Macaca mulatta: one gene and its partner. The protein of the gene in region 2 interacts with the protein of the main gene of each other region in a biochemical or structural test. Links are inferred from orthologs where the notes say so. Each region holds a gene or a part of one and is shown on either strand. Other genes may lie near its edges.

Region 1 (3,811 bases), on a different chromosome or scaffold from region 2:
GTGGGCGGTCACAGCAGGATCTCAGGTGCTCAAACCGCCCTCCCCTTCATCCCTCCAGTCAGGCAGCACCCAGTGGGCACATGGCCAGGACAGCCACTCACCTGGTGCATCATAGCCTGGGCCCAGGCCCATGCCCCCGCTGATGCCCAGGTGAGTCATGGTGTGGGTCAAATTGGAGGTACTGTTGCCCCCACTCAGGCTAGGGTAGGCTGTCTCTTCAGGGTCCAGGGGGGTGGGCAGTGGTGGGGGAAAGTGCAGGTTGGTGAGGTCAGGTAGGGAGCCCCCCGTGTTCATGGCAGGTGGGAGGACAGGCACATTGGCAGGCTGGTCAGGAGATGGAAAGATGCTAGGGGAAGGAGAGAAAAAGAAAGATGTAAATAGGAGTGGGGTGCGGTGGTCAGGGAAGAGCAGAGATCAGTCTTCTACATCTCCCTGTACTTCCTTCCCCCAACTCTCAGCCAACCTCAGGGAATACTTACTTAATTCCAGGGACTTCACAGGACCGAGGTCGGGAAGAGGATGAGGATAGCTGAGGAAAGAAGGAAGAATATGGAAAATGAGGACAGTGCTCAGTGCAGAACCCTGGAAGGCCTGCCCCATGGCAAGGGGATAGCAGAGAGACTAGTGGGTGACACCCGGTGGCCTCCACCTACCTTCTTAGCATCCCATGGCTTCAGCAAATGCTTGTCATCTAGCAAGTTCTCCTCAATAGCAGGTACTTGAAAGAGAAAGACTGGTGATGGGAGAGTTGGAGAAAGAGCCCATAAGGCAGGACAGGAAGCAGAAGCAGGCGGGAAGGAGTCCTGCTCCCTGAACCTGCACACAATCCCAACACCAGCCCAGAAATTGTTTGGCATCCAGTACCCACAGCAGTGAGGAACACATACCTTTGGGGTCCATTTCACCATCCAGAATACCTGCAAGGGATACAGTGGCGTTGGCTGCAGTGCCCACTTGCCTACCTGCTTTAAATAGCTCCGTGGAGGCCAGGCGTGGTGGCTCACACCTGTAATCTCAGCACTTTGGGAGGCCGAGGCGGGTGGATCACGAGGTCACGAGTTCAAGACCAGCCTGGCCAAGATGGTGAAACCCCATCTCTACTAAAAACACAAAAAATTAGCTGGGCGCGGTGGCAGACGCCTGTAACCCCAGCTACTCGGGAGGCTGAGGCAGGAGAATCACTTGAACTCGGAGGGCAGAGGTTGCAGTGAGCCGAGATCGTGCCATTGCACTCCAGCCTGGGCGACAGAGTGAGACTCCGTCTCAAAAAATAATAATGAATGGATGAATGAATGAATAAATAAATAAATAAATAAATAAATAAATAGCTCCGTGGTTACTCCCAACCCTGGGACAGGGCCACTTACCCCCACGTCGGCTGGGCAGGATGCTGGGAGGTGTGGGGCCTGGGTAGGTATCCTGGGGACTGGGGTTCATCACACTTGTATGAAGGGCAGAGTCAGAGCTTGTCCTATGGGGGGAGCAGGAATGAGCTGACACCAGTGACAGTCTTCCTGGTCCCTAAGCCCTGCCCAGCAAGGGAAAACACTAGCTGGGCTGGAAATGGGGGGTGGTGAGGGAACAGGGCCCCAGAAACTACAGATAAGAGGAGATGTGGCCTAAAGAAGGCAAAGGCCATCACCTGTTAAGTGCAGATGGTAGTCGAAACAACTGCCCCTTCTCTGCAGGGAAATTGCCCCAGGGCATCGTCCTGGGGTAGAAAAACAAAGTCATGAGGAGGAAGGCTGGCAGTGGACAAGAAGGTGGGTATAGGGGTTGGAAAATGTGGGGCAGCCAAGATGGAAGTGAAGATGGCTAGGCACCCAGATCATCCCCTTTTCTTTCTGTTTCTTCTCCTGTTTATGATTGACCCCTCCCCCAGTCAATCTAAGAAAGCTGGAAACCTCTCTGCCAGGACCAGCTGAATGGGAATCTTGGAGCCCAGCAGCTCTTCTGGGTATGAGCACTGAAGGTGAGATGGACAAGGGGAGAGTTTCAGAAATCTAAAAGTGCCAGAGCACTACATCTTGCACCCACCTTTGACAGAAGGTCACCATTTTCACCTGCCCCTCTGCCATTCTCCCCTCCCCCTTACACACACACCCCAAGCTGGCTACAGTTCCCATTGGTTCTGCTCTAGCTGGACTGGGAGGCTTGACCACTCGTGTCAACATGGCCAAGGCTGGACTCTGACCCACCTACTCCAACTGCCTCCACCTCTCTCAGCCCTGGCGTTATAGGAAGAGGTACTGTTGAAACCTTAGCTCAGTAATCCCAGCCCCAACCCAGAAGGGGCAGCTCCCTCCAGAAACATGGCAGAGAGTAGGCAGGAGCTTCCGCCTGCCCTGGACACTTACCTTCGCCAGCTAGACTCTGGGGGAGGAGATAAGTAGGCAGGACTGTAGGGAGAGCTGTCAATGTGAACAGCACCAGTTAAGGAAAAAAGTAGAGAGGACAGATGAGATAGAGGCCAGATGAGGAAAGAACAGTGGAGGCAGCAGATAAGTTGTTTTGAGAAACACATACCTTTCTCCTCTTCTATAAGGGACAACGATAGGATCAAAGAATGGAAGAGAAGAAGGGAATCAGGTCTAACGGGGCTGAAAAAAATCCAGGAGAATGTCCAGGCAGGACTTCGAGGATACAGGTACACATGTCTCTGAGACTGAAAACTCAGAAATGTGAGGAGAAGGGACGCAATCTCCTTTAGCAAGAGACAAGGAAGGCTGCCTCTGGCAGCAAGCTGATGTGAAGACAGCCAGAGCCAGCCAGAGACAGGGGGCACAGCCTCAGGAGCAAAAACTCCTTATCACAGGACCAGGTGCTGATGCAGGAGCTATGGTTGTTTTCAGGGAAGCTGGGTAAAGAAGAGCTCCAGGAGAAGGATGGGACTGCACAACACTTCAAGTGCTTCCTATAAGTCCCTGAGGAACCCCATCCCACTATCTTTCAGACACTCCCAAGTCCCCTGTGAAGGATATGTGGCGGGGGTATCGGCGAAGTGGGGACACCATTCTTCGAGGATCTCGCTGCACCCGTTCCACCAGCCCATGGTGCCGTGTGCTTCGAGATGAATCCAAAGGTGAGTGGAGGGGGCTCTGCCAAAAAGGACAGAAGTCAGCAGAGGAAGCAGCCTAAAGAACCTCCACTCCTCCCTGGCTGGTGTCTACTCACCTGGAACTCGGCCAGGCCAGAGCCAATCTGGTTAACATTGGGCAGAGACCCACCATAATGAGAGCTCCTTGTGTACGCCAGTCGCAGTTTTTGGGCCTGTAACTGAGACATGGGGAACAAGTGGGAATGTCAGGAAGGTCCTGAGCACTATTTCCTTCAGTCATCCTTGCCATCTCTGTCACCAGGATATGCTGCTGCTGTCACTGCTTTTAAAATATCTAGGCCAGGCACAGTAACTCACACCTGTAATCCCAGCACTTTGGGAGGCCGAGGTGGGTGTATCACGAGGTCAGGAGATCGAGACCATCCTGGCCAACACGGTGAAACCCCGTCTATACTAAAAATACAAAAAATTAGCTGGGCGTGGTGGCGGGCACCTGTAGTCCCAGCTACTTGGGAGGCTGAGGTAGGAGAATGGCGTGAACCCGGGAGGCAGAGCTTTCAGTGAGCCAAGATCGCGCCAGTGTACTCCAGTATGGGTGACAGAGCGAGACTCCGTCTCAAAAAAAAAAAATCTAGGCCAGGCACAGTAGCTCACACCTGTAATCCCAGCACTTTGGGAGGCAGAGGTAGGAGGATCGCTTGACCCCAGGTATTGGAAAGCAGACTGGGCAACACGGTAAGACTCCGTTGCTAC
Region 2 (3,811 bases):
GACCCCATATCATACTCCGAGTCCACACTGTCAAGGGAGGGGCTATCATTCATGGAGAAAATTTTCCCTTTAAGAGAAAACAGAACAGATAAAACCAACAGCAATAGCATCTTCTTGGAACATAGGGTACAAAGCATAACCAGCTTGAGACTTGACAGCTACCATGTCCTTAATCTCCAATCAAAACATCTTTTCAGAGGTTTACTTTTTACTGGCCAATTTAGTCATCTTCAAGTTTAGTGGGGAAAACACTCCAGAAGTGGCATCTGTAAGATCACAGCCACTCCAAAAGACTGTAAGATCACAGCCGCTCCAAAAGACTGTAAGATCACAGCCGCTCCAAAAGACTGTAAGATCACAGCCGCTCCAAAAGACTGTAAGATCACAGCCAGTCCAAAAGACTGTAAGATCACAGCCAGTCCAAAAGACTGTAAGATCACAGCCGCTCCAAAAGACTGTAAGATCACAGCCACTCCAAAAGACTGTAAGATCACAGCCGCTCCAAAAGACTGTAAGATCACAGCCGCTCCAAAAGACTGTAAGATCACAGCCACTCCAAAAGACTGTAAGATCACAGCCACTCCAAAAGACTGTAAGATCACAGCCGCTCCAAAAGACTGTAAGATCACAGCCAGTCCAAAAGACTGTAAGATCACAGCCACTCCAAAAGAGCCAGAGTCCCTGATGAATCATGTGGCACCCAGATGAATCCTGGGGACTACGGGAGCCAACTCTGAGACATTTCAATTCACCTTTGATAGCTGCTGCCAGGCTGCATCTGCGATGCCTGCTGAATCTGCTCCATAAAGGAATAAGCTATCGATTCAATTTTAGGAGTTGGCTGGCATCATGACCACTTGTTGGCGATTGGAGTATGAGATGATGCCATGAAGACTTAAGCTAGTGTCGCTCCTCTACCGTACCTGCTCCAGGCATCACGACCAGTTGATTGGTCACTTCTGACAGAGTGTGCCGTCTCTGCCCGCTGCGTGTGGACTGAAATGCCTCAAAGGCATGAGCGGGGTCTTCCTCAGCCTCTCCTTCTGTCTCCAGCCCTTCGTCAATGGAGGTCTCCATCATGTTGCTGGGCAGTGACTGGCATCCCTTCCGCACCAGGACAGGAGGCACAGGGTCAAGCAGACAGCCATTGACCTAAACGCCAGGGGAGAGAGGAAACTCAGTTTCTGCATTGCTGAGACAGAAAAATCCACAAAGGAAAACATGTCAAGACTTGTGGAAAACTAGAAATTAAGTAAAATATTTAAACATGCACATATTTATTATGAATGACAACACACATAGATTAGAAGTGAAGGCGAGTCAACTGCAGGACTCAGAGAGAGACAGAAGCCCGTGATGACCTGAACTGGCACTGCTGCCCAGGTTTCTCTGAGTCATCATTATTAAAATAAAAAACTTTTTTTTTTTTTTTTTTTTTTTGAGACGGAGTCTCGCTCTGCCACCCAGGCTGGAGTGCAGTGGCCGGATCTCAGCTCACTGCAAGCTCCGCCTCCCGGGTTCACGCCATTCTCTGGCCTCAGCCTCCCGAGTAGCTGGGACTACAGGCGCCCGCCACCTCGCCCGGCTAGTTTTTTGTAGTTTTTAGTAGAGACGGGGTTTCACAGTGTCAGCCAGGATGGTCTCGATCTCCTGACCTCGTGATCTGCCCGTCTCGGCCTCCCAAAGTGCTGGGATTACAGGCTTGAGCCACCGCGCCCGGCCAATAAAAAACTTTTTTAGTGGTTTCCAGAAGAACAGGGGTATATTAGTTTGAGGCCTACCGGTTATTTTTTTTTTAAATAAGGGAAATGAAGAGGGGGAAGATGAGTTTTTTTTTTTTTTTTAAACTGCATGGCTCACTGCTAAAAAAAAAAACAAAGGGGGGGGTAGTCACCTTTTCAACCACAAACATACTGGAAGGTTTTAGAAAGACTTTTATGTTCATAATTTAAGTACCTGCCCATTTGTTCTAGTCTTTAATTGGTTCTCTGTGCCTGAGGAATGGAAAGTAAGAATTCTATATAGACAGACTGATACCACAAAAAGGATTGAAAAAAATTCAAATGGCAGACAGCCAAAGCCTTCCATTGTAGAACAACAAATGGCTCACTGGCCCAAAATTCCAGCAAAGGCTAATAAGCCCCAGGGCACTGAATTCTGTCTCCTGCAGCAACATATACGTTATGGATGGTTCCTATCCCACAGGGGTGAGCGCGGCACAGCTCCCTGCAAGCACTGGCCCTTCCCATGCAGTTGCCACGCAAACCGCCCAATGGCAGGCAGAACAGCACACCGGCGGCAGGGTGGGAGTGGGGGGGTTTGTGGTTGCAAGTTCAGGCTGGAAAGGCCCCTGTGAGGAGGTAATTATTTACCTCATTACCTTAACTATTCCCCCGTGGAAATCAATCTATTTTCTCCTATGAATAGCTGCTCGGGAACAGCCAGTAATAAGACGCTTCGTTCTGAGCAGTACTTTCACCTGGAAAACACTGGGTAGAGCTGCTGTTTCCTTTGGAAGCAGGAGAAGCTCATGTATGTGAGAGGTGGCGTGGGGTTTCCCTTTGCCAGACACACAGGAAACTTTCCTCTTACGGCAGCCAATCTGAAGGCGCGGCGAGGCCCTTTATTTGGAGAAGGAGACTCGGGTGACTCAGATCTTTGTTTGTTGCAGGGAGGGGAAGGTTATTCCATAAAATCCATTCTGGGCTGTAGCCCTCACTCGGGTAAGGTGGCTAATGCATTACAGGGTTTTAAAGTGATGAGTGGTCATTTAAGAGGAAGAGTGGCAAATGCTTCCTTTCCACATTGGCCAACCTTCCCCATGGCAACAGAAAGCAAAACTCTGAAACCTGGCCAGCAACTCTTACTCTCTCCTTGGTCCTTCCCCAGATAAACTTTCCTTTCTGACTAAACTTAATAGTTTCCTTGCAAGAAAGAATGGCTGTTTGAGAACTTATATTCATACCTCTAAGCTCCTTAACTCTCTACTAATACAATTTTCTAAAACTAGCCAAGAATGGTTTAGAAATGAATAAGGCAACAGAGAAAAGAAGATCATTAAGTAATTATCTATTGAGCATCCTTATACTTACGGCTGCCGTCAAAAGACATTTCTTATAGGATAAGCCATACAAGTAGGCTCTTTTTTCTTTTCTTCAATTTTTAAGTTCCAGGGTCCATGTGCAGGATGTGCAGGTTTGTTACATGGTAAGCGTGTGCCATGGTGGTTTGCTGCACCTATCAACCCATCACCTAGGTATTAAGCCCCGCATGCATCAGCTATTCTTCCTGATGCTCTCCCTCTCCCTACCCCCCAATAGACCCCAGTGTGTGTTGTTCCCCTCATGTGTCCATTCTACTCCTACTTATAAGTGAGAACATGTGGTGTTTGGTTTTCCGTTCAGCTGAGGATAATGGCTTCCAGCTCCATTCATGTCCCTGCAAAGGACATGTTCTCAACCCTTTCTATGGCTGCGTAGTATTGGTGTACATGTACCACATTTTCTTTATCCAGTCTATCACTGATGGGTATTTGGGTTAATTCCGTGTCTTTGCTGTTGTGAATAGTGCTGCAACGAACAGACTCGTGCATGTATCTTTATAATAGAATGATTTATAATCCTTTAGGTATATACCCAGTAATGGGATTGCTGGGTCAAATGGTATTTCTGCTTCTAGATCCTTGAGGAATCGCCACATTGTCTTCCACAATGGCTGAACTGATTTACACCCCCACCAACAGTGTAAAAGTGGTCCTTTCTCTCCGCAACCAGGTCAGTATCTGTTGTTCCTAACTTTTTAATAATTGCCA

What was found.
Region 1: of the proteins of SIK2 (region 2) and CRTC2, one has a biochemical effect on the other in vitro, tested with the Homo sapiens proteins (2 studies listed by BioGRID). The link is inferred for Macaca mulatta from reciprocal best matches to the Homo sapiens genes SIK2 and CRTC2.

The regions. Positions count from the first base shown.
Region 1 is NC_133406.1:113,081,732-113,085,542, reverse strand, and holds part of CRTC2 (CREB-regulated transcription coactivator 2), read right to left. Parts: intron 3,277-3,811; coding exon 3,175-3,276; intron 3,099-3,174; coding exon 2,982-3,098; intron 2,423-2,981; coding exon of another isoform or gene 2,420-2,422; coding exon 2,358-2,419; intron 1,712-2,357; coding exon 1,643-1,711; intron 1,472-1,642; coding exon 1,368-1,471; intron 918-1,367; coding exon 888-917; intron 734-887; coding exon of another isoform or gene 719-733; coding exon 654-718; intron 530-653; coding exon 480-529; intron 347-479; coding exon 102-346; intron 1-101. UniProt on the Homo sapiens protein: Transcriptional coactivator for CREB1 which activates transcription through both consensus and variant cAMP response element (CRE) sites.
Region 2 is NC_133419.1:112,459,886-112,463,696, reverse strand, and holds part of SIK2 (serine/threonine-protein kinase SIK2), read right to left. Parts: exon of another isoform or gene 3,724-3,811; coding exon of another isoform or gene 3,679-3,723; intron 1,153-3,678; coding exon 924-1,152; intron 68-923; coding exon 1-67. UniProt on the Homo sapiens protein: Serine/threonine-protein kinase that plays a role in many biological processes such as fatty acid oxidation, autophagy, immune response or glucose metabolism.